3 linked regions of the Mytilus edulis genome follow. The protein of the gene in region 1 purifies or fractionates together with the protein of each later gene. This does not show direct contact. Links are inferred from orthologs where the notes say so. Each region holds a gene or a part of one and is shown on either strand. Other genes may lie near its edges.

The links.
Region 2: the proteins of cell growth-regulating nucleolar protein-like (region 1) and uncharacterized protein purify together in Homo sapiens (affinity purification with mass spectrometry; 3 studies listed by BioGRID and IntAct, with this or other methods). This does not show direct contact. The link is inferred for Mytilus edulis from reciprocal best matches to the Homo sapiens genes LYAR and GNL2.
Region 3: the proteins of cell growth-regulating nucleolar protein-like (region 1) and GTP-binding protein 4-like purify together in Homo sapiens (co-immunoprecipitation; 3 studies listed by BioGRID and IntAct, with this or other methods). This does not show direct contact. The link is inferred for Mytilus edulis from reciprocal best matches to the Homo sapiens genes LYAR and GTPBP4.

What each region holds. Positions count from the first base shown.
Region 1 is NC_092347.1:43,469,384-43,477,123, forward strand, and holds the start of cell growth-regulating nucleolar protein-like, read left to right. Parts: upstream 1-4,679; 5' UTR 4,680-4,782; exon of another isoform or gene 4,783-4,787; intron 4,788-6,945; 5' UTR 6,946-6,953; coding exon 6,954-7,078; intron 7,079-7,719; coding exon 7,720-7,740. Other genes in the region: protein-lysine N-trimethyltransferase SMYD5-like, read right to left, coding at 112-239, 1,437-1,685, 4,408-4,464. UniProt on the Homo sapiens protein: Plays a role in the maintenance of the appropriate processing of 47S/45S pre-rRNA to 32S/30S pre-rRNAs and their subsequent processing to produce 18S and 28S rRNAs. Also acts at the level of transcription regulation.
Region 2 is NC_092344.1:111,337,165-111,344,116, reverse strand, and holds the start of uncharacterized protein, read left to right. Parts: upstream 1-3,876; 5' UTR 3,877-3,967; coding exon 3,968-4,037; intron 4,038-6,952. Other genes in the region: coiled-coil domain-containing protein 25-like, read right to left, coding at 387-434, 3,586-3,610. UniProt on the Homo sapiens protein: GTPase that associates with pre-60S ribosomal subunits in the nucleolus and is required for their nuclear export and maturation.
Region 3 is NC_092345.1:13,257,960-13,265,501, forward strand, and holds the start of GTP-binding protein 4-like, read right to left. Parts: upstream 3,004-7,542; 5' UTR 2,933-3,003; coding exon 2,885-2,932; intron 1-2,884. Other genes in the region: zinc finger protein 28-like, read left to right, coding at 3,391-3,436, 6,133-6,332. UniProt on the Homo sapiens protein: Involved in the biogenesis of the 60S ribosomal subunit. Acts as a TP53 repressor, preventing TP53 stabilization and cell cycle arrest.

The sequences.
Region 1 (7,740 bases):
CCCCCCCAAAAAAAAAAATTATAGCTCACTAAATTAAACAATGTAACTGAAGAGTGAGATATCAATTTGTTAATAACATCCAGCGTTATTATAACTTGTATAATTATTCACCTCCAAGTTTCCTGAAGCCTAGCTAAAGGATGATCATTGTCTTCACTTAGTCTACTAGGACCCATACACAAGACTTGATGATATTCATCCAAAGCTGTTTTTCTACATAATTCGCAGCAATATGTCACCTGTATAAAAAAAACCAGTTATATTGACTGAATTTAGCAGTGAGTTTTTGCTTTTAATAATAATAATGTGCTATGATAAGGGACTCAAGGTGAATAAAATATCATTCACCAGGATTTTTTCTCATATGTATGAAGCCATTGAAGTAAATAAACAATGATTGACATTTACGATATAATATTGGATTGATTAGAATTTTTCTCACTTTTTTCGCTATAGTGAAGGGTGCTAAAATTAGGAATGCACTCAAAAATTTGGAAATTTCAATGCTTAAACTTTTGATAGTGTGTATTTGTCCAACAATATCAAGGGTATCCGGAAAGGTCTTTAAACATAAAGTAGAAAGGACTGTTTGCAGATCCTTGTTAGCAGACCTTAATCTGTATTTTATTCAGATACTACTTTTCCTTGGTATTATGTTCAAACCACAAGTTAAACTGTTAAATGCAATACACTGTCACAAGTTCCAAAGGCTTTATATGAAGTTTTTGGCAAGACCATGCTATCAATCATCAAAGAAAAAACTATTTTACTTTCTTTCATGAAAAAAAATGAATCCTTCATACATACAATGACATACAACAATTTATACAGAAGACTTTGCTCTGCACTTGAACGAACCCTTTAGCTTGCAACCACTTTTTGACACATCTGTGGCTTGTTGCATAGAAAAGTTTCAACCCTATCCTGAGTGACTGAACATTCTATTGTTTTCCAGGAGTAGTACAAATTTCCTGCCCTTTATGTCCTGCTCCATACAGTACACACAGAGAGGATGTAATCTCATACTCCCAACACTGATTCTGGTGTAACACAGTGTCACACTGTGAAAGACAGATTTCCCTCCCAAAAAACACCAAGGAATTACTCCCATCTGGGAGGGTTTTATGACCTGTTGATTGCAGGTAAAAGTAATAAAAATCAACAAAGCATGACTGCATAGTCTGACAGTGACATATAATCAAATGTCAACTATTCTCTCACTTCTTCCTATTTCAATCATTTCCTATTTAGTTTAATTTCTGAAAGCTATAAAAAAAAAAAGGTTAATGAAAATACATCCTCTCTGTGTGTACTGTACCTACCTATTTTAAAATTATTAATAATTTCTCATACTGAATATGCATGAAATAATTGCCACTGAACATTAATCATTAATTACTAAATTAATTCATGTATTCTCTGAATAATTTGGTTACCTGACAACCAGGACAATCCACATATGGTGACTGATCAGTAATATCACATTCCGGATGTGGGAGACTTAAATGTGGATTTGTTGATAATCTACGAGCTTGTTCTTCTGCTGTTTCTAAAGATTTCATACAGTATTCACATGCTTTGTATTTGTACAACTCATTCCATAGAAACTGTGTGGAAACAATTGGTGTCTCTTCAAAAATAACATCACCTTTGTTTATGTTTTTCTTTGCAAACAAGCCTTTTCCCTGGAAAAAATATATGTATGTCATAAAATGCCAATCCTAAACAATGATCGTTTGCAAGAAACATTTTAATTTTATAATAACTTTTACCATGGTTACATACTTAAGGTAGCTTGGGTGTCTTCCTCCATCTTGGATTTTGAATTAGCAGAAAACAATCGATTCAGTCTAGATCTTTAATGAAATGAGCAAATTTCAAGAGTAGTATGTATTTCATGTGTAAGACTTTTCATGTTAATATTGAAAATTATGTGTTTCATCATAATTACCATGATTACGCCTGTATATTACAAATAAAAGTGATTTTTTTGTTTTATCAATTTTTTTCCAAACTTTTCCATGTAAGGGTAGATAACTCAGATAAAGAAATCTTTATATCATAATGTGTTGTGTAAATTTACTTATTTTATTATTTAGGAAGAAAATGAGTTTGATGATCTCATTTTTTCTTTTTTGTATCTGCATGAAAGCATATAATATATATGAGCTATCTCCTCATACATGTATCTAATCTTTAAATTATATGGTTTTGTTTTCTTTTTATCACACAAAAATAGGGATTTCCATGCATCATGTTCATAATCTATACAAAATGAAAATCTGACAAATGTGCACAACCTGTAGCCACAAAAGCCCAGTGACCCATACGTTTTATTATATTTTTGAAAAACAGTATGACATAAACTACATTTAGCATGTTTAGACAAATAATCAAAATATTTTATGGATTTTAATTTAGACTCCCATCTACCCTAAGTAGGATAAGTGCATAATTTAAGTTAATTTTTAGTTATGCAAATGACTCTAAGAGAGACAGTATTATTTCCTCATCTATACCCAGCGGTAGTTACAGTTCTATCTTTATAGCTAACTAAGAGGACTTGATCATGCAGCTCATTATTTAGAATACGTAGAGGATACTCAATAAAAAAAAATTGCAGGTTTGCCTCTATCTTTCAATATTTGTCTGTTGCTTGCATTGGTTTTATTCAACAATGTTTATTAACATAGGTTTACTAACTTGCCTTTACCAATAACATTTTTGGCAGGACTATGTAACAAGGTTGGGCGGTAAATACCACCCCCGGTATTTTACCAGTGGTATTTACCGGTATTTTCCGCCCTGGACAATACTCCCCAAGTGGTCAATACTGGCAAATACTGGTCAATTGAAATTTTCATGGTTGTTTCTACTATTAATTGAAGTAAAAACTTGATAAAAAGTCAAAAATACTTAAAACTTTAATCTTTATGCATGTGTCAGCTTTGGAAAGAATACATGTATGTAACATAAACTATCTCAACTAAATCTTAATTATAAGGACACAAATTCTTGCTACAATTGACTTATACATTGTACATCAAGCATCAACCTACAATTTTTGTATTTTTTTTTGATGACTCAGGGCAAATTTTTTTTTGACAGAAGTGTATAAGATAGGAAACATGAACTTGATTATTATCTTTAAACACTTGAACACTGTAAAACTCTTTATTTTTTTTACCAGATTTCTAAACTCTAGTAGCTATATATATATATATATATATATATAGTAATACCAAGATGAGGGAAATGAAGCTGATGACTCATTTAACACATACATGAAGATGTATTTTAAAAACTGGTTTATAAACATGATAAATGAGGGTAATAAAAGGGGGTACCTTCATGATGAATAAAGGTAAAAAATCTTGCCAAATGATATGTTAACGGTAATATTTCGTGGGCTTTATGAAAAAAATCTACCGATTTTGACGAACCACCTAAAATTCCTTGAAAATGGTAACGATAATTATTTCAGAACTCAAAAATAACTAGGGGTCGAATTTAAGCTTTTTGTATACTGGCAAGCTGGAACAGTGGAATAAAAAATCTACTGGTCCAGCTGCGAGGGGGGATAGGACCTTTATCGGGACTCCGGGATCAGGTGTTTTTAAGCTCAGGATTTCTGGATTGACCCTTTCGGGATCCGGGAATTCTTTTTTTAAATTTCAGGACCTCGGGATTTCGTTTTTTTTAAGCCCGGGATTACGTGATTTCGTGTTTTTAAGCTCGGGATTTCTGGATCAGGACCCCTCCTACCCTCCCTCAGCTGCAAATCTTAACTGGTTCTGCAAAAATGACATTCATTTGACAAACACTAAAAACAATTTCATGAAACAATATTTTATATTAATTTCTTCAAGTTAACAGGAAATAATATTTTATTTTCAATGAATACAATTATCCTCTTTGACATGCTTCAGTACCGGGTAAATGATTTCGCAAGTTAATTTGTTTGCAAACAAACTGATATTGCGATGCAATCAGTGAGTTTTATCAACAAATTTCTACTGGTCCACCAGACCACCAGCAGACAAAATCTACTGATCCGACGCAAATTCTTCTGGTCTATGACCGCAGGACCAGCGCCAGTTTCGACTCCTGGAAATAACTCTGACCAATCCTGATCATATACAATGTATATAAGCATGACATAACTTAACATGAGATTAATAAATTTTAATCAATTTCATGCAAACATTAGCCGAAAACTACTGTTTAACGCCTAACAATAAAGGTGCATTTTTACCCTTTACATATACATGTAGTGATGTACCAAATTAGGGTTGTTGAAGTAATGACTAAATGAATGACAGGTGAGGTGGGATAGGTCTTGAGGATTGAGGAGTAAACTTGTGACTAAATTATTATATTCATCTGATTATTTGTTTCCCTCATTACTTTTAGTTCATCAATAAGTTGTATTTCTACATTTTCTGTGCTGTTTTTCAACTCCATTTCTATTTGATGAACCGAAGACGGTATGGAACTTATACGAAAATAAATTTTATGTTCATTTTTCTTTTAAATAATAATGAAATGTCACCAAAAAGATAAATCATATCTAATTGACCAAAATGAAGAAATTTATTCTTGTTCTTTTGTTCAAATCTTTAAAGAACGACCGTTTGTAAATACAATTAAACGCGGAATTGCATCTAATCCGATTTAAGTTTTTGTTTAGAATCCCATTGACAACTTCCGCCACATGTTCATTTATTTTATTTTTAATTTTGATATAAGAAAAACAAGCATTTCCTTGTTTTGAATTACTTGGTAAGGTGTGTATGATATTAAACCCTTCATCCTATAACTTTAGGTTATGAAATTATAACATGACAAACTCAGAGTGCTTGATTTTGATAAAAAATCTAGATAGCATTCTGTTTGCTTTTCTTCATACATACGAATTTGTATAATTATTGATAATATTACTTTACAAACATGAAAAATCCTTGTTGTAATTAACTGATTTGTGTATATGTTTTCCTTCTTGCCTTCATGAATTCGGTCATACACTGCTGGCCTATAACATAAGATTTATTTACAGTACCATTCAAAAGGACCAACTCTCCCACACCCTACACCAAGGAAAATGTCCGAGTTACTCCGAAAAACTCTGATATTCCTCCCAAAATGTTGGGAGGAATTTGGGAATAATCTCTTCCAAAATCAGGTAAATGTTTATTGTGATAGCGAGCTCACTCCCCTATTATTTGCTCTTATCCTACTTTGATCTATACCGACACACGACTGATAGGGTAATAGGCTTAAAGTCATATGAAACGAGTAAGTGGTTAAAAATAACGTTTATCCAATTCTTGAACCAATGCATGTATATATCATAAACTTAGTCCTCTGTGCACAAATTTCTCATTTTACGCATATATAATGTTTAATCGTCAATTTTTTTTTTCTCTCTGTCTGTTATGATTTAACAAATATGGCTACTCATTAAATGCCGTGTTTTGAAGCCGAAGTTTACCGATTGTCACCTTATAGTAAACAAATAACAAAAAGCATAGTTATTGAGCACGTGTTTAACATGAACAATCAGATAATTGTTTATTTTAATGACAGATCCATGCTTATTGTGACCACCAGATTTTTACGAGGAGGGTTACGCTCAGGTCACTATGCATACTGAAAATATGTCGGCGAAGCAATTTAAAATAATGAAATTCTTCTAAATGTGAACAAATTAACACTAGTTATACGTCCATGGTCAATAATATAAATTTATGGTTGATGAAATATTGAAATTATGATGGAAATTGTCCAGGGATCAATTGTGTTCAAAAGACAAAAATACAATAAAGAACTGCCAATTTTGGGCGATTAAGAAATGTTCAAAAATGAAATGCTGACTGATTTAACTGGAATAGAATATTATGATGGGCAATTGAGGTTTAATAATAATTAAAGGATTAGTGACCTATTGAATGGCGATAAGCGGATTACTTATCATCACAACTTTTAACATCTTTTGTAAACGTTAAATGGCTGCGCGTCATAAACTTGTCAAAAACATGAAGACAGGTAAAATCATAGTAATTTAATGCTAAAATATTTTTACACTTTCCAAATTTAAATGACGAAATTGATATTAAATACTTTCATCAATTTGAAAACCGTTTCGTAGCAAAATCACTTGAAGTTATTCCCTTTGTTCAACAGAGTTGTCACTTTACAGTTTCTTTTCGTAATTTAGATTATTGAAGTCTGTATAAATGTACCGAGGTGGTGAAACATAGTATTTTACATTGCTTCAATAAATTGAGTTTTACTTGTTGAACCGATGAATAGATTAGACGATCGAGTTACAAAAAAAAGACCTGATTATGTTGTCACGCGTCGTAAATGTTTAGTACATCCGATTGGCAATAAACCAATTAACAGCCACGCAGTGTTGGGAGAGAATCTTTGGAGGAATTTGGGAGTGAAATCCGCGGTACTTGGTAGCTCCGAAAAACACGGAAATCGGAAAAAAAAGGATATTGAATCGTTCCGTTTGAATGGTACTGTAATACATTTTTACTCTTTTACAAAATGTATTAGGGCCTCATATGCATGATGTAATGATAATAAACATGTGGATATGTAATCAAATGTCAAATAACAAAAATACTCAACTCCAAGGAAAATTCAAAACAGAAAGTCCCTTATTGATGGTATAATCAAAAGCTTAAACTCAAACAACTGTCACATTCTTGACTTGGAACAGGCTTTAAGTAGTAAATGGTGGATTAAATCTGGTTTTAAAGCTAGCTAAACATCACACTTGTATGACAGTTGTATAGGAATCTGTTATATTGACAATGATGTGTGAACAAAAAAGACAGACATAAAAGGTAAAAAAGGTAAAAAATTGGGGTACAGCAGTCAACATTGTGTTATTATCTTAATCACCATAAAAATCATTCATACATGTACTTTCAGAGGTTGAGATGGTGGTGTTTACTTGCAGCCAGTGTAACGAATCACTGAAGAAGAATCAAGTAGAAAAACATTTTCAGACAAGATGTCGTAACTGCAATATGATATCATGTGTTGACTGTGGAAAAGATTTCTGGTTGGTATATTATATACATTTGCATAGGTTTATTTTTTGTTTAGAGTTGTCTCCCTTGTCAAAAATTCTAGAAAGGGGACTTATCTATGTAATGTAGCTAATTTATATTTATTTTATAAATAAATTTACCTCAATCAAAAATAAGAAGTTCATGAATTTGGGGTATGTTTTGCAATGAGACAACTCTCCACCAGGGATCAAATGACTCAAAAGTTTGCCACTATAGGTGAACAATCTCCTTCAATAATGAGCCATAAATTACAAATTAAGGCATACATGTCATTCTTCATTATATTATATTAATAATTTCTGTGATTATATTAAGAAATAACTTTCTTATCAAAATGAAAACAGAGGTAAGAACATTGAAATTAGATATCAAATTAACACTTATCTCCCCTAAAACTGCACTACCTTCCTTACAGAAGAATTTATTTGGCAGTACAATGTACCAATAAAAAAATTCATGTGAACTATCGGTATATCAAAATTATGGAAAGATCCTGATTCATTTTTTGGATCAGAAGGGAAAATGAAATTTGATTATGGTATCATTGAGATTTTCTCAAAATTACAAATGCCTATTATCATGATTATGATACTGTGTAAAATAATCCTTATTCCTATTTTATTACTTTCAGGGGAGATTCTTATGCAGAACA
Region 2 (6,952 bases), on another chromosome or scaffold:
CACATCTTCTTTTTAATAAGTAGTTCAATTACACAATGAACTGTATCACTAGCCTTTCAATACTGAGTTCATATTCCGCAAGGGGAATTAATTGATGAGGATTGTCAGTTTTCCATAATAAAATGGGTGGTTCTCATTGGGCACTCAGGATTCTTCTACTTGTTAAAATAATACTGTCCTGAAATAGCACAATAGTGCTGAAAGTGGCATTAAACACCATTCAATCAATAAATGTTATACAATCATTGCCAATGTACTATTACATAATATCAATGTACAACAATAAAAACTGATATAAAATAGTAATATAAAGATAAACTTTACTCATTAATCTATCCCTTTTATAGGTAATTTTCTACATGTTTAATACGCATAGCCATACTCACTTTCATGTTTATCCAGACCCATATAAATAGTGTGAGGTGGGGATGTAACTGAAAATATAAACTAAAATTATATGCAAAAGATTTTTTTGTTATGTTCAATGATAGCTTCATTTTACTTTTTATGTTTATTTTTGGCACATGTATGTATATCATTTACAAAATTCCAAAATTAGACCAAGAGTGTATTCAAGCACAAAGCATGATATGTATTATTCAAAGTCTAATATACATTGTAGCGACAGGGTACCCAAATTGCACCTATTTTGACAGTTTTTTTAACCTACGTTTATTTATATATATGCTTCAGACAAAAGTTTTAATTATGTGTTTATTTTGAAGATGTATCATTATTTACTATATTGTTTCACCAATTTAATTTTGAATCGTTATGGAATCATAGAAAAATTGGTCTGAACTGACCTTCAAACCATCAATGATTCTGTAATGAGGAGTACCTAAATTGCATCCATTCTTAAATTTGCATCGTCAAAAGTCGAATAACAGAACTTTTGTTTAATTTCTTTAAATATTTTGAACAATTGGATATAAGTTCATGCTTACTCTTTCTTTTTTTTTTTAGAAATGGATACTTGTAACATATTGTATTTGCTAATTTTAAAAAGATGACGTTTTGATGACATCACTTCCGTACATTTTGCTTTTTCAGGTAACACTTCATCTGTTGATAAATACTGTGAACATTGTGTGTATATCTAAATATTTTTACCTATGTTGAAAGAAGTGCATAGTATCAAATCATAAAAATACAAATTGTTTAGTCTCTAAGAAATCTTTTAAGATTCCCGCTGCTATTTTTGCTGAATAGGTGCAATTTGGGTACTCGGTTTAATTTGGGTACCGCGACGTTACCTTTCATGGATAATTAAAGTCATTAAACATAAAAAAACATGCAGATACCATCAACAACGTATTCTACAAAAGTATTTTAGAACAAAAGTTTTTCTCTTTTCTAAAAATTTATGAAACAATTGATATCAAATTCAACAGCTTCATGTACATATTGTACAAATATGGACAAACATGTTTAACATTTGGAGTTATATGTACATCCACATCATTTGAATTGTAGTAGATTATGATGGTTGTCTTATTGGCAATCATACCACATGCAACAAAAATGCACCCACCTCAATTATCAATGTTCTTGATAAGCTACATTGAAGTTTTTTTTAAATGACATTGTTCTTCCCAGAGCCTAATAGTTTTTTTTTAACATAGTGTATTATAACAGTAGTACAATGTACTATTTTTTGGGGGGAAACAGTCCTACATGTATTTCAAATTACCTGGAAAGAACACTTATGTATCGATAAATTATTAAGAGAAGGAAATACTGACTTTTTTAAGTTCAAATATTTATTCACTGAAATAAAATTGAGAATGGAAATGAGGAATATGTAAAAAAAAATCAACTCAAAACAGTCATCTTCCACTTGCTAACAGGTCCTTAAGGATGATGTCTGTTCACAACAGGTCAATTTGCACCAAATAGAGTCCTATTAACATGATTTGAAAAAATTACAGCAACTGATTTAATAGGTGACAGCAATGATAACCATAAATACTAATGTCATGCACAAACCAGTTGGTCAACATATCTCACTGAAAGTTTTAATCTTTATATTATTTTTAAAATTTGGTCACATTACTTTTTGTTCAGTAAAATTACTTTTCAAAACAAACTTCTATCAAACCAATGAATGCATAAGAATAATAAGAATGTATGGGTGAAGCGACTGAGGATGAACTGTTAGTGACTAAGTGTGGCCGAAACGTCTCAAAAGCCATTCTTGACACAGGTACTTGTGGACAGGATACCCTTTGAGTGCCCCTGAGTGGGAGTATCCCGATTGACACCCCATGTAGTTTATTTTTTGTTTGTTTTTCATTAAATGTTTATTTTAATTGTTTTTACTTTAATATATGTTGAAGTTACTGACAAACAGCATTTGAGTTTTTTGCCGGTCGACTGACTCTCTACATGTATATAGAGGGTGGTAAAGGGTTATTTTCGTGCATCGTTTTTAGCCTTTTTATTTCATGTGTTTTCGTGTTTTGAGATTTTATTTCTCGATTTCTCGTGTTTGGTTCGACGTGCGTGTCTCATGTTCTCCTTTATTTATTTTTCGTGTTTCGTGTCGGAACTATTAATTTCTCTTGCTTGTCCCGCATTTGATTAAAAAGTACCGGTAAACCGGGACTAAATTCAAAGTTAGTCTGGAGATTGTTTAAAATTATGTGTTCCCAGAATATTTAAAATTGCTATCAAATTATTATTATGAATAATATTTTTCCTTCAAATCAGTTGCAACTAGTGGACGCTAAAAGGTGACTGTAGGGTCATCATGTCCATTTTATAATTTATAACAAGATGATACCCAAGAACGGCTGCACGATTAATAAATTATTTTACGTTTTCCGTTAATATTTACGATTTTATTTCTCTTGCTTCTTTTTTCCAATTTTTATTTTCTGTGCAACGTTTTTGTGATTTTTATTTCACGTGTTTCAGTGTTCAGGGCCCCCTTTACCACCCTCTATATACATATCAGTCGACCGGCAAAAATCTCAAATGCTGTTCGTGAGTAACTTCCACTTGTATATTACAAGTAATAACACTTAAAATAAACGTTACTTTAGTGAAAAATAAATAAAAATTAAACTACATTGGGGGTCATTTGGGATACTCCCACTCAGGGGCACCCAAAGGGTATCCTGTCCACAAGTACCTGTGATTCTTGATGCATAAAACGAACAAAAAAATCAGAGAAAAATGACTCAGGGAAAATAGGAATCAGAACCAAAAAATTCTAGGAATGAACAGGAACATAATGAAAGGATTCCTTCAATTTCAATTTTCGCAAAATAAAACTTGATAAATAAAAACTTCAATTGGCCATATTGAGATAAAAAAAAAATAACAAACAAAACAGTGCATCACATTTTTCAGATCTTAATAACCGCACTTGGCTGTATCACTTATTACAGTTCATGTTAGTGAACCAGTCATGGTGATAGATTGATAATTTGTTGTTGTTTGCCAATCGTCCAGTGGGAAATATTTCATGAATGTTCAGGACGATCAACCATCTATGCATCTATGAGTTCAGATTAAATTTATCTATAAAATTTCTGTCACTTATTTGGATAATTGGGGTTTCTATTTTCATTAAATTACCATTTGTTGTGAAGAAAAATACCATTTTCACTTTTTTCCAAATTATCAATTTCACGTTTTTGGAAAAAGTATTTTTCTAACTTCAATGAAAAAGATTTTTAAACATGTAAAGTGCTAATTTAAGGCTACATTTTTTTCAATATCAAATACAAAAACGTTCTAACATCGTATTTGCCTATATAAGAGAATATAATTAATAAATCTGAATTCATTTATTCGTTAAATAATAACTTTAAACAGACTACTATTAGACTACACTGTTATTGTAAGGATATTTTATACACGAATATCATCACTTTAAAAGAGGAATCCATGTGGTATTGACTTCCGGTAATTGCACGTTTATCTTTTTCTAGTGTTCCTTCATTTGGATAGAATTAAAATGGGAAAACCTGGAATGAAGCCGACTAAGAGGGATGGCATCAACAAAGCAAAACATAGTTTGAACCCAGGTGAATAAGAGTTTGATAGTTTGATTACAGTTCTTCAGGGGCCGAACCCCCCTTTTTTTTTAGTAAATATTGTATAATATATCATGTATATTAACCTATGTTTTCTTTTTTAATATTTTCTACTCTTTTTCATACGAAATAATACAATATCACTGTATGACAGGAGTAACCTATGTGTGGGGTCAAAGACTAAACTATTTTTGGAAATGTGAATTCCAGCATATTTTAAATACACCTTATCGCTATTTGTCCGCCATTACTGAATATCACACAGGTTCCCATAAAATTTTGACGTCATAAAACAAAATATCTGACGCCACAATGGAAAAGTGATTGTTGTATGCGTCAAAAGTTCAAGTGGCTGGGTCAGCCTGGATTAGCGATAAGGTCAGTCCGAGATTACTCTGACGTCCAACGGCTGTTTTGCCAGACAAGCTGGGGCCGTGGAACGTCAGAGCTCGTCCCATATCAAAAAGTGGATATTTGCCCACCCAAAAGAGATGCGCTCCTTCGTCGCTTCTGGTGCCGATTGAGGGCCTTGGAATTATATAAATCGGGCATCAATCTGTTCATTTTTCATTTATCTCTTCATTTATGTAAGTTTCACCTACCTGCAAACCTTTATTTTTCCATATTTTAACAGTTTTCACAGAGACCCATCGATTTCTGCATTTTAACTTTCACTTTCAAATGGACGTCAAGTAACGAGAGAGTTAGTGGGGTGCAATCAACAGTTTTTTTCTATGACGTCATATTTTGAGGGACCATGTATAAGTGACCCTTAGTGGTGGACTGATTAATAAAGATACCTGTATAAAACTAGATATCACTGGAATCAGAATGTTCTCTAGTTTATAATGGAATTAAAAAAACGTGTACTTTTAATAGTATAAAAAAGTTTTATCCAGAGAAACTGGGAAAAACATTGCCTAATTTAAGCTTAAAAAACCTGAAATCAGGTCATGTGCACACCCCTGAAGACATGATACCTGCACATTTTTCATAATCAAAGTTGTATGAATTTCATAGATATTTACCTGGTCTTTCAAAAAATTCATGCTTCAGGGTACGTTCGCCTGCTCCGAAAAAAGCTACAGTGGCTGCAAACAAGTTTTGAATTTTCACTGCCAAAAAAACAAACTGTTTACAGTGTTGTCTCCCCTTAAAACATGAATATTTAATCTAATTTTTTAAATTATTTTAATCATTCAACCTGTTTTAATTGAAGTTAATTAACATATCTTCACAACCAAATACAAAAAACATGATACTTTTTCACCAATTATGTTGATAAAAAGGGACTTCTCTCCATGTCTATTTTTAGTTGGGGAATAACTCATAGTTTTTTATACGAAACTGTTTATAGCACCCGTGGCCTCGAGACTCAAATATGCAAATATTTATATTTTTTCACCTCCTTTTTGGTGATTGATGTTTAACATTTAGAAGCCAACCACGATTTTTCACCTCCTTTACAGGAGATCGGTATTAAGCATTTAGTTCCCACCACGATAACAATCGGAAGCTCTCAGACATTTAGATAACTTGCATCGTAAATGAACGAGGTGTTACATTATGGTCATTTGCACTGTTTTCTTGTGGTCACGTGATAATCTTAGAAAATGAAAGTCAAAATGCAGAAATCGATGGGTCTCTGTGAAAATTGTTAAAATATGTGAAAATAAAGGTTGGCAGGTCGGTGAAACTTACATAAATGAAAAATGAACAGATTGATGCCCGATTTATATAATTCAAAGGCCCTCAATCGGCACCTGAAGCGACGGAGCAGCGCATCTATTTTGGGTTGGCAAATATCCACTTTTTGATATGGGACCAGGGCTCAGGCTACCAGGCGACTTGGGCGAAGAAGTCGCCTTCCCGACCGTCACTTCGCTTTCCCCGACCCCCAAAAGCGAAAACAAGTCGCCCTGTTCTTGACGATAGTCGCTTTCAGTCGCTTCCGTCATCGGACATTTTCAATTTTTACCAAGTTGATGAAACATCAATTTTTTACTGATAATTAAAGAAATTCAGACATAAACGATTCATTATCTTTAGAAAAGAGGTTGAAGCATTGTCTTCGCAGTGTGTAGCAGGTTTTTTGATAAAATACAACTTTTTATCACTTCGTTCATCTCTGCAAGTTCCGGTGCTTGTTACTCGAAAACGTACATCAACCTAAATTTCGGCGGCAAAATAAGTTTGTTACTTAATTTAAACGTGACAAAAGTTGCCTCCAGTAAATGTTTAATCCATTTATTGCATTAAAACCGTCATGTTCCTTTCCAAAAAACTTGTCAAACATCGTTTATTTTTGTAAATTTTCTTGCATTCATCCGCCATTGACCGATTTCTAAACTACAGATCTGAACCGGACCAGCTATGACCGAAATCCGTACTTTTACAATAATTACTACGGACGCACGGATGGAACAGCTGACAGAAGAATATTGATCCCAAAGGGGAAAATTATGCATTCCACACGCATTAAGAGACTTTTGGTTACATCTAATTGATTGGTGTATATAATTCCCTATATTTTTTATGGATTGTTTCAAACTATTGATTAAAGTTGCTGAACTCTGAGACTATTATACTAATATCAATATATTATGGCCCAGCTTAATAACTTTTATATTTTTTTTATGAGAAACACTGAATTTCATACACAAGATAATTTTTAATTAAATTGTAATTGATATATTATAATTTCTTTACATTTTTTAAAATAAATTTTTTTTTTAGTGCTAGATATTTAGTTGGTAGTTTAATTTCTCACAAGAACCTTAGTAAAACTTAAACAACTTTTAATTTCAAATGTTACTTTAATTGTATTTTTTTACTCATATGAATTGAACAACATAAATAGAACATTATTTACATATGGCCCTTTATACTATTGTAAAATCCAAACA
Region 3 (7,542 bases), on another chromosome or scaffold:
CAGTATTCTAAACTTGCTGACAACCAATTTCATATAATTATTAAAACCAAAGTAACTGCTTTTTTTCTCTTTTGAGAGATCAATCTAATAAACATTGTAGTATCATTAAAACAGTTGCTTACCAAATTTTGAATTATTTGTTTGAACTTTGGAATATTTCCCCCTAAATTTAAAAAAATTGTTTTTGTACAATAAAGTTTTATCTAAAAATTTTCTCTGACAGTCTGTGCTGTGGGACTACTAACACTAAGCTGGGCCCCAAATAGCTACATTTCTGTAATAAGATAAATAAAAGAAGAACATACAACATCTTAGGCAAAAAGGACTTAATGTAATTATAACATGGACACCAGGACATGCCAATATAACTGGCAATGACGAGGCCTACATCCTTGCAAAAACAGCAGCAATGTCAGCTAGGATCAATAAGAAAAACCACTGGAAATAACTTTAAAACACTTCAAGATGTCAAATGGCAGAGAAGATGAGAATTATGCAGAGACCTGTTTGGAAAAATACCAACTACAAAGCACTCAATTTTGTACGATTTCCCAACTAAAAGACATTTCAGCATATTTCACCCACATAGAACTGGCTACACAGAACTCAACTATTATAAGAACCAAGTAAGACAACTAAACCAACGCAGAGTCATGCAACTGTGGAGCACGTGAAACACTTCACCATTTTCCTCATGGAGTGTCCTTGCTATGAGAACAAACGAGAAGATATGTTCAATCAAATATCCAAAGAGCACCCTGAACAGTATGTTTACCAGATTAGAAGGCGAGTTCATAAACAGAATTTGCAGATTTGATACTTCTTTTCCACAATCCCACTCTTAACCAGTGCATACCCTTTTATACGGTCTCACTAATTAGCGACAACAAGAATTTTAGCGACAAGAAGCGACAATAAGAATTATTTTAGCGACAACAAGCAACAAGAAAACATTTTTTTTTTAATTAAAATTAATTATTGCAATAAATATTAAAAGAATATGCAAAAGAAAATAATTTTAGCGACGAAGAAAGTTAAAATTGATAGAAAAAAATGAAACATTATTTAACATGATAATATTTTATCATCTATTATGAATATATATATATAACAGCCAGTATTACGTTTAATTATTGTATTATGAGATTACTTTTCCTTGTGTTTTAGAACATATTATTTATCTTATAATTTGTTTTTTAAAACTCTTTTCGTGCAATATATATTAAGCTCGCAATATTTATCATGTTTATGCATATTGATTGAAGATGAAAGGAAATTAATGACAATCTTGAGCTTTCTCACAAATGTTTCATTTCTTCGTCTATTTATATTATAAAACATTTTAATTAGACATATCTGCTCGTATATTTAAAAAAAAACATTAAATACAAATTTCTTTATATCTAATAAAAAAAAATGTTTTCTTGTCGCTAAATAGTCTTCTTGTCGCTTGTTGTCGCTAAAATAATTTTTGTTGTCGCTTCTTGTCGCTTGTTGACGCTTGTTGTCGCTTCTTGACGCTTGTTGTCGCTAATTAGTGAGACCCCTTTTATAGCACCGAGAAGAAACTACGTTGAGCAAAACACACAATAGAGAAAATTTGGGCTAACAGGCCTCAAGATTGAGGGCAATGAGGAGTGATTTAGCAATCGGGCAAGTTATTATTCAATTTGTATTAAGAAAACTAATTTGCTTAGTTGCCACTTATATTCGTTGATGCTAGCAACTATCAACCAATCTATTATTTAACCCCATCTTTGTAAACATAAATTTTTCATGAACGGCATGTTATAAACATATCGTCGTGTCATATGTTTTCGTATGTCATATGTTTTCGTATCAACCACATTTCGTCGGTTTCGACTGCATACGCGTACATTGTGGCATGTTTTTCTGTTTCTATATTTAGAACAACAACACCACTACAACTTGATATATTTAAAACATATTCAACGTCGCTTTTTAAAGACGTTAGAACAAATTAAATAAAACTGACCTATTTAGCCATTTTTATTTAATGTCAAAAAAACGCATCACTAGAATAGTTGTGGAAAAAAATTCTGAAGGGTTAAAATAAAGTCCAGATATGTTTTTTGCAAGTCAGACACCGGATCTTCAAGACATATGACTGTCATGTGTTTTTTTGGCCGTTTTAATTACAAACCATCGAGTTAAAATTAGCATGGTTCTTATATAAAATGGTTGTTCAAAATCCAACTATTCAATATTTCATTGACAATTTTTTTTTATACATCCTTGATACATGAAGATGAAAACAGTCTTAACTTTTTATATTTAATCATAAATTTTGAAAACTGCATTTTATTTTAGAAAAAATAATGTATTTTGTACAAACCAGGTGCCAATCTGAAAATTAATCAAAATCTAAAAATTTCATCACACGAAACACCAACCTTACACTATTAACTAGTAATTTTTAGTACTGAAAAGTATTTAATAACTTTTTTTATGATTCAAGCGATCACCAGAACCACGACTTTAAAAAAAAATTATTTCCGGATTTTGTAGTCATTTCCTGTCCGTGTACTGATCCAATTTTTATTTCATACGAAAACATATGACGCCGTTTTTTTGACATACAAAAATCGCAAAGTAATCGGAAACAGTAAAAAATCGTAGAAATCATTGACAAAAAAAACTAGATACCTAAAATCAATCTACAGGACATGCTTTTTAAATCTGAGTAAACACCTAAATAAAAACTCAACAGTAAAAACCGTAAGCAGTGAAAATTGTTATTAGTACGAAAACACATTACACGATGATATGTATCTTTTTGTAATTTCTACAATTGAACATAATTTCAAAAGACTAAATAACTAGCTATAGTGTTTCCTTCAAATAAAATGTCAATTGACTTTACTTTTGATGGTGGAACCACAGTGATTTTCTTGAAATTGTAGTGTGACATTTTGACTGATGTTGCAAAATCTGGCACACACGTGAAAAGGAAGTTGACAATTCACCAGGAGTGAATTATTTATTGGATTTTCATTGGTGAAAATAATGATAAGTCTACCAATAAAAGATTGATGAAAAATAATCAACTACAACGGACTATTTTGGTGACAATTAAAAGATTTTTCTCCAAGAAAACATGACAATAAATATCAAAGACATGAAAATAATAAATTGAACTTTTTTCAAAATTTATATGAAATTTAAAATTGTGAAGATTTTCGAGAAAATATATTTTCCGTAGTATTAACAGGATCTCTCCTCACTAGTTATAGTTTATCATTTTTTGTGACTTCCGGTTTTTATTGGCTTGTCCGAAAAAAACAGTTAGGCATCCTGACCCAATCTAATATACGATAACTCTGTTGATTGTCGAGCAGTAAGCCAGGATCCCAGGGTATCCGGAAAAAAATGGACAGTGTCAGTTTTGAAGACATAAATCAGTCAGAAATCAAAGGTTAAAAACGCTGTTTGACCCGAAGTTTGATTCACAGGGCCTGTATATTTTTTTATACAGTAGTTTTCATCAAATAAACTATTTTTATTAGTGCATATTGATTGGTGTATTATGTGATGTGATTTCAGTGCCAATTTTGGTTTCAAATTTCTCATTTGATGTGGCCCATCGATAACCAAACAAGTATATATACTCATATCTAGATAATAGTCCAAAAAATGTACAAATGGTTGGACCATATGAGGTGGGTCTCATTGGGGTCTAAGCGTGACGCGGGATTGTCGATTTTTTGTAAGCGTGACACGTGAAAGTCAAATTATTGTGGCGTGAAAACAGGAAATTAGGTCTTGCGGGACCCGGGAAATGACAAAAAAATGAGAATTGCTTATGTACATAGTGTAAGCGGGATACGGGAATCTGACAAAACAGTAAGCGGGATCCGGGATCGGAACCCCCCAATGAGACCCCCTATGAGAGGGGGGATGGACCTTTATAGGGACTCCAGATCAGGTGTTTTTGAGCTCGGGATTTCAGGATTGATCCTTTCAGGATCTGGGAATTCATCATTCGAATTTCGGGATGTCGGGATTTGATTTTTTTTAAAATTAGTGACCTCAAGCATGTCAGGATTTCATGTTTTTAAACCGGGGATTTCTGGATCTGGACCCCTCTGACCCCCCATGATATGAGATACTCATATGGTCCAAATACTCATATGACGCGGAACATTAATATCTCTAAAGTAGGGATGTCAATGAGTTCTTGAGTACTCGAGTAACGCTCAGTAGTACCAAGTATCGATTACCAAAGTGATACTCAACTAATTGGTTTCCTGTTAGAATGTTGTTGCTTTCTTAGCTTAAACAAAAAATAATTTTATTGAGAGCACTCGCCAGGAAATTAAATATTAATCAAATATATCAAAAATTAAGACAGGATTGGAATGTTTGCAATTTAAGTTATTTAAAATTGCTCCAAACAGAGGTAGGATATATGAACAAGTGCACTTATCTAGGCCTACATTGTAAGCATATCTTAGTCATTCTCCCACCTCTGTACCCTCAGAGCATATATTTTCATCAGCGGAACTGTTTTTTATCTAACAATCTTGAGAAGTCTCCTTGTTCCAGAAAAAGTTGACAGATAATAACAAATTTGTTGCACCCTATGTCCGCACTTAGAAATTGATTGAAGGCATCAGTAAGTTCTAATCATCACCCCTTTGTCTATATCGTTCCCGTGTTATCTACCCGCGAGCTTACACCTTTGAAGGTAATGGAAAGCCAGCTGGACTCAGTAACAACAAAATAAATAAAAATTGAAAATAAGTCACTGAGGCCAGGGCTGGACTAGGGTGTGAACATGTGGGGGTGAATGGGAGGGAACATGATTTTGGGCAAACAGACATGGATTCCCCAAAAAGATCATAAGAGGCAATTTGTGATTTTAGCCAAAATAAGATATATACACATGATACATTTTCAGTGCAAAAATATCTCAATTTTTGTATTTCAATATTGAAAAGTGCATTTATTAAGCATGTTTAAAGCAGTAGTAGTATCATTCAGGACTTCTGATTTATAAAGAAGCTTTTCCAAAAAATTAATAAATAGCTGCTGGATTGATCCTTCTATAAATCAACCCCTTCCAATGGACCAAATTAATAAACAATTAATAAACAATTTGGTATTCAGAAAGTTTGCTAACCAAATGTTGTTGCCTTTGCTGTACAGTTGCTATTTTCTGCATGCGCACTTTGTAATATTTTCCCTGGAGTCCAAAGAAAAAAAAATTGCTCAGTGTTAAACTAAAATCCCATACAAGGTATTGTATCCCAAACAGGATATTATTAACCATTTGGAAGATAATAATCAACCTGCTCAGTATTATCTGGTTTGTCAAACTTATTTGTTTCTCACTGTTATGAGCATTATATTTTTTTATCTACATGTACAAACCAATCCACAGTATTTGGTTTGCCATGTCTTTTTTAAATAACTTTTGGTTTTATACATTTACAAAAAAAACCCACTTTTTATACATGTATAACCATAATTATATACTGTGGGTTCATTTATTTTCGTGTGTATTAATTTTCGTGGATTGAGGAAATCTTGCATTTTCGTGGATATTTGATTTCGTAGTTTTGTCAAAGTCTGTACGCAACCCAATAGCAAATTTGTGATTCTTTGAACATAATAAATCTTGTACCAACAAAAACCACAAAAATTGGTATCCCACAAATAATAGTGAATCCACAGTAATAGGTTTTGTGTAGATCAATATACATCCCAAATTTTGAAAAGGTATTTATACATATTTATTCATTGTAAATGTTTTGGTGCATTTGTATTTTGCAACACATATAATTCTTTGAACATATGGATCCTCTTGAAAGTTTAATTACCAAATAGGAAGTTTTGAAAAACTAGTGTGTTACACCCGTCAGTTAACATTTTTACTGGAAAGGCAAATAGGAATGAAATTTGGAAATTTTATTTTTTTAAAAGGCAGATGGATGCAGTTTTTTGCTTTGGAGGACAGAAGGGTAGGGGTGAGTACTCAAAAGGGTGGGTCTCCCTTCTATTCAGGACAGGCAGGAACACTGTTTGTATTTAAGTCTGCAATTATGTTGTAGACAATTGATTGAGCCATATGGCATATCTTTTTCTCATAAAAGTGTTTTTTTATTTCAGAGAATACAGATGAAGCAATAAGTAAAGATATAGAAATCTGTATCAGTCAGTTCACACAGACATTAGAAGAAAACTTAGCATCATTTATTGATGTCGCCTCATTAATAGATTACACTAAAAAGGGGAGGCAACCAGCTGAAAAGCCAATATTTAAATGTGGAGAATGTGGGAAAATTTTCCAGTTGAAACACCATTTACAGGTAAAATGCATATTAGTCAATGAATCTGATTTTATCATGCCTGCATCAAATGACCCTGACATATATGTATGACACCTTGAGCTATATTTCACCTTTTAAGGGAAATATGGAAGATGAAGATTTCCTTCCTGTCTTTCAAGGTATATAAACCTTGTCATCCTTTTCATGTTGTATTAATGTCTATAAAATCAATTTTAAGATTTGTGAATAAGTTATCTAAATATTGTCAGTTACTTTTAGGAAACGGGTAAAATATATTAAAGTCTATCTGATAGAATCATTGTTAGTGATACATGTTTGTGTGGCTGGGTTTGGTTGACTATGACCTTATTTTCAAGGATCATTGATCAATATAAACATCATAAAGTTCTTCTGAAAAGATTTATTTTCAGTTTCTATACATTTGTAGGTAATAGGGCATTCATTATTTTTCTGAATGTTCTTTTATTAGGAGAATATTCCATGTTTAACTCTTCAAACAATAGACTATTTATACATGTATCTATATAAAGATTTGTGTTCTATTTCTAACTTCGAAACTTTCCACAAAATTGCGGACATGAAAGAAAACACCATTACAGAAAACAAAAACATTGAATGCAAAATGTAGCGATGGGTTAATGATCGTCAAACTTCACTTTTGTTAACAATTTATTTGTTTTAGTCTTAAAAACTTATGAAGTATAAATTTTAAATGATTGTTGCAACCGTGGAGAAGGTTAATTAATTTAAATGGAAAATCTTTTTGTGGCATCTGTTGTTGTTGACTGACTGACGCAGCAGAGAATTTATGACCAGTATATATTTATGTGGTACATTTATAGGGAATATCTAGTATTACCGTACAATACTAAGTTTATGATTAATGTCCAAAACTTGCAACCCCTTCTGCTTTTTTTCTGCTAAACAATGTCTTTTCCCAGTGAATATAGCTAGGGTTTTTGTAAGAACAGTTTTGACAAACTACATATAGAATACTTCCAAGACCACACTGTTTTTCCTCATCACAACTTAGAAAGAAATACACACTGTTTCAACTGCTTAGTGAGATATCAAAGTTCTACCATCTTATACCAGTCAAGTTCGTGATTTTTATTTCATGACTTTTTTCATATTCATTTTCAAAATCCTGTAGTAGTTCTTCATCTTCAATTTTAGCAAACAAGTTCATTCTCTTAGAAGTTGCATACTTTCCATCAAATTTACCGGT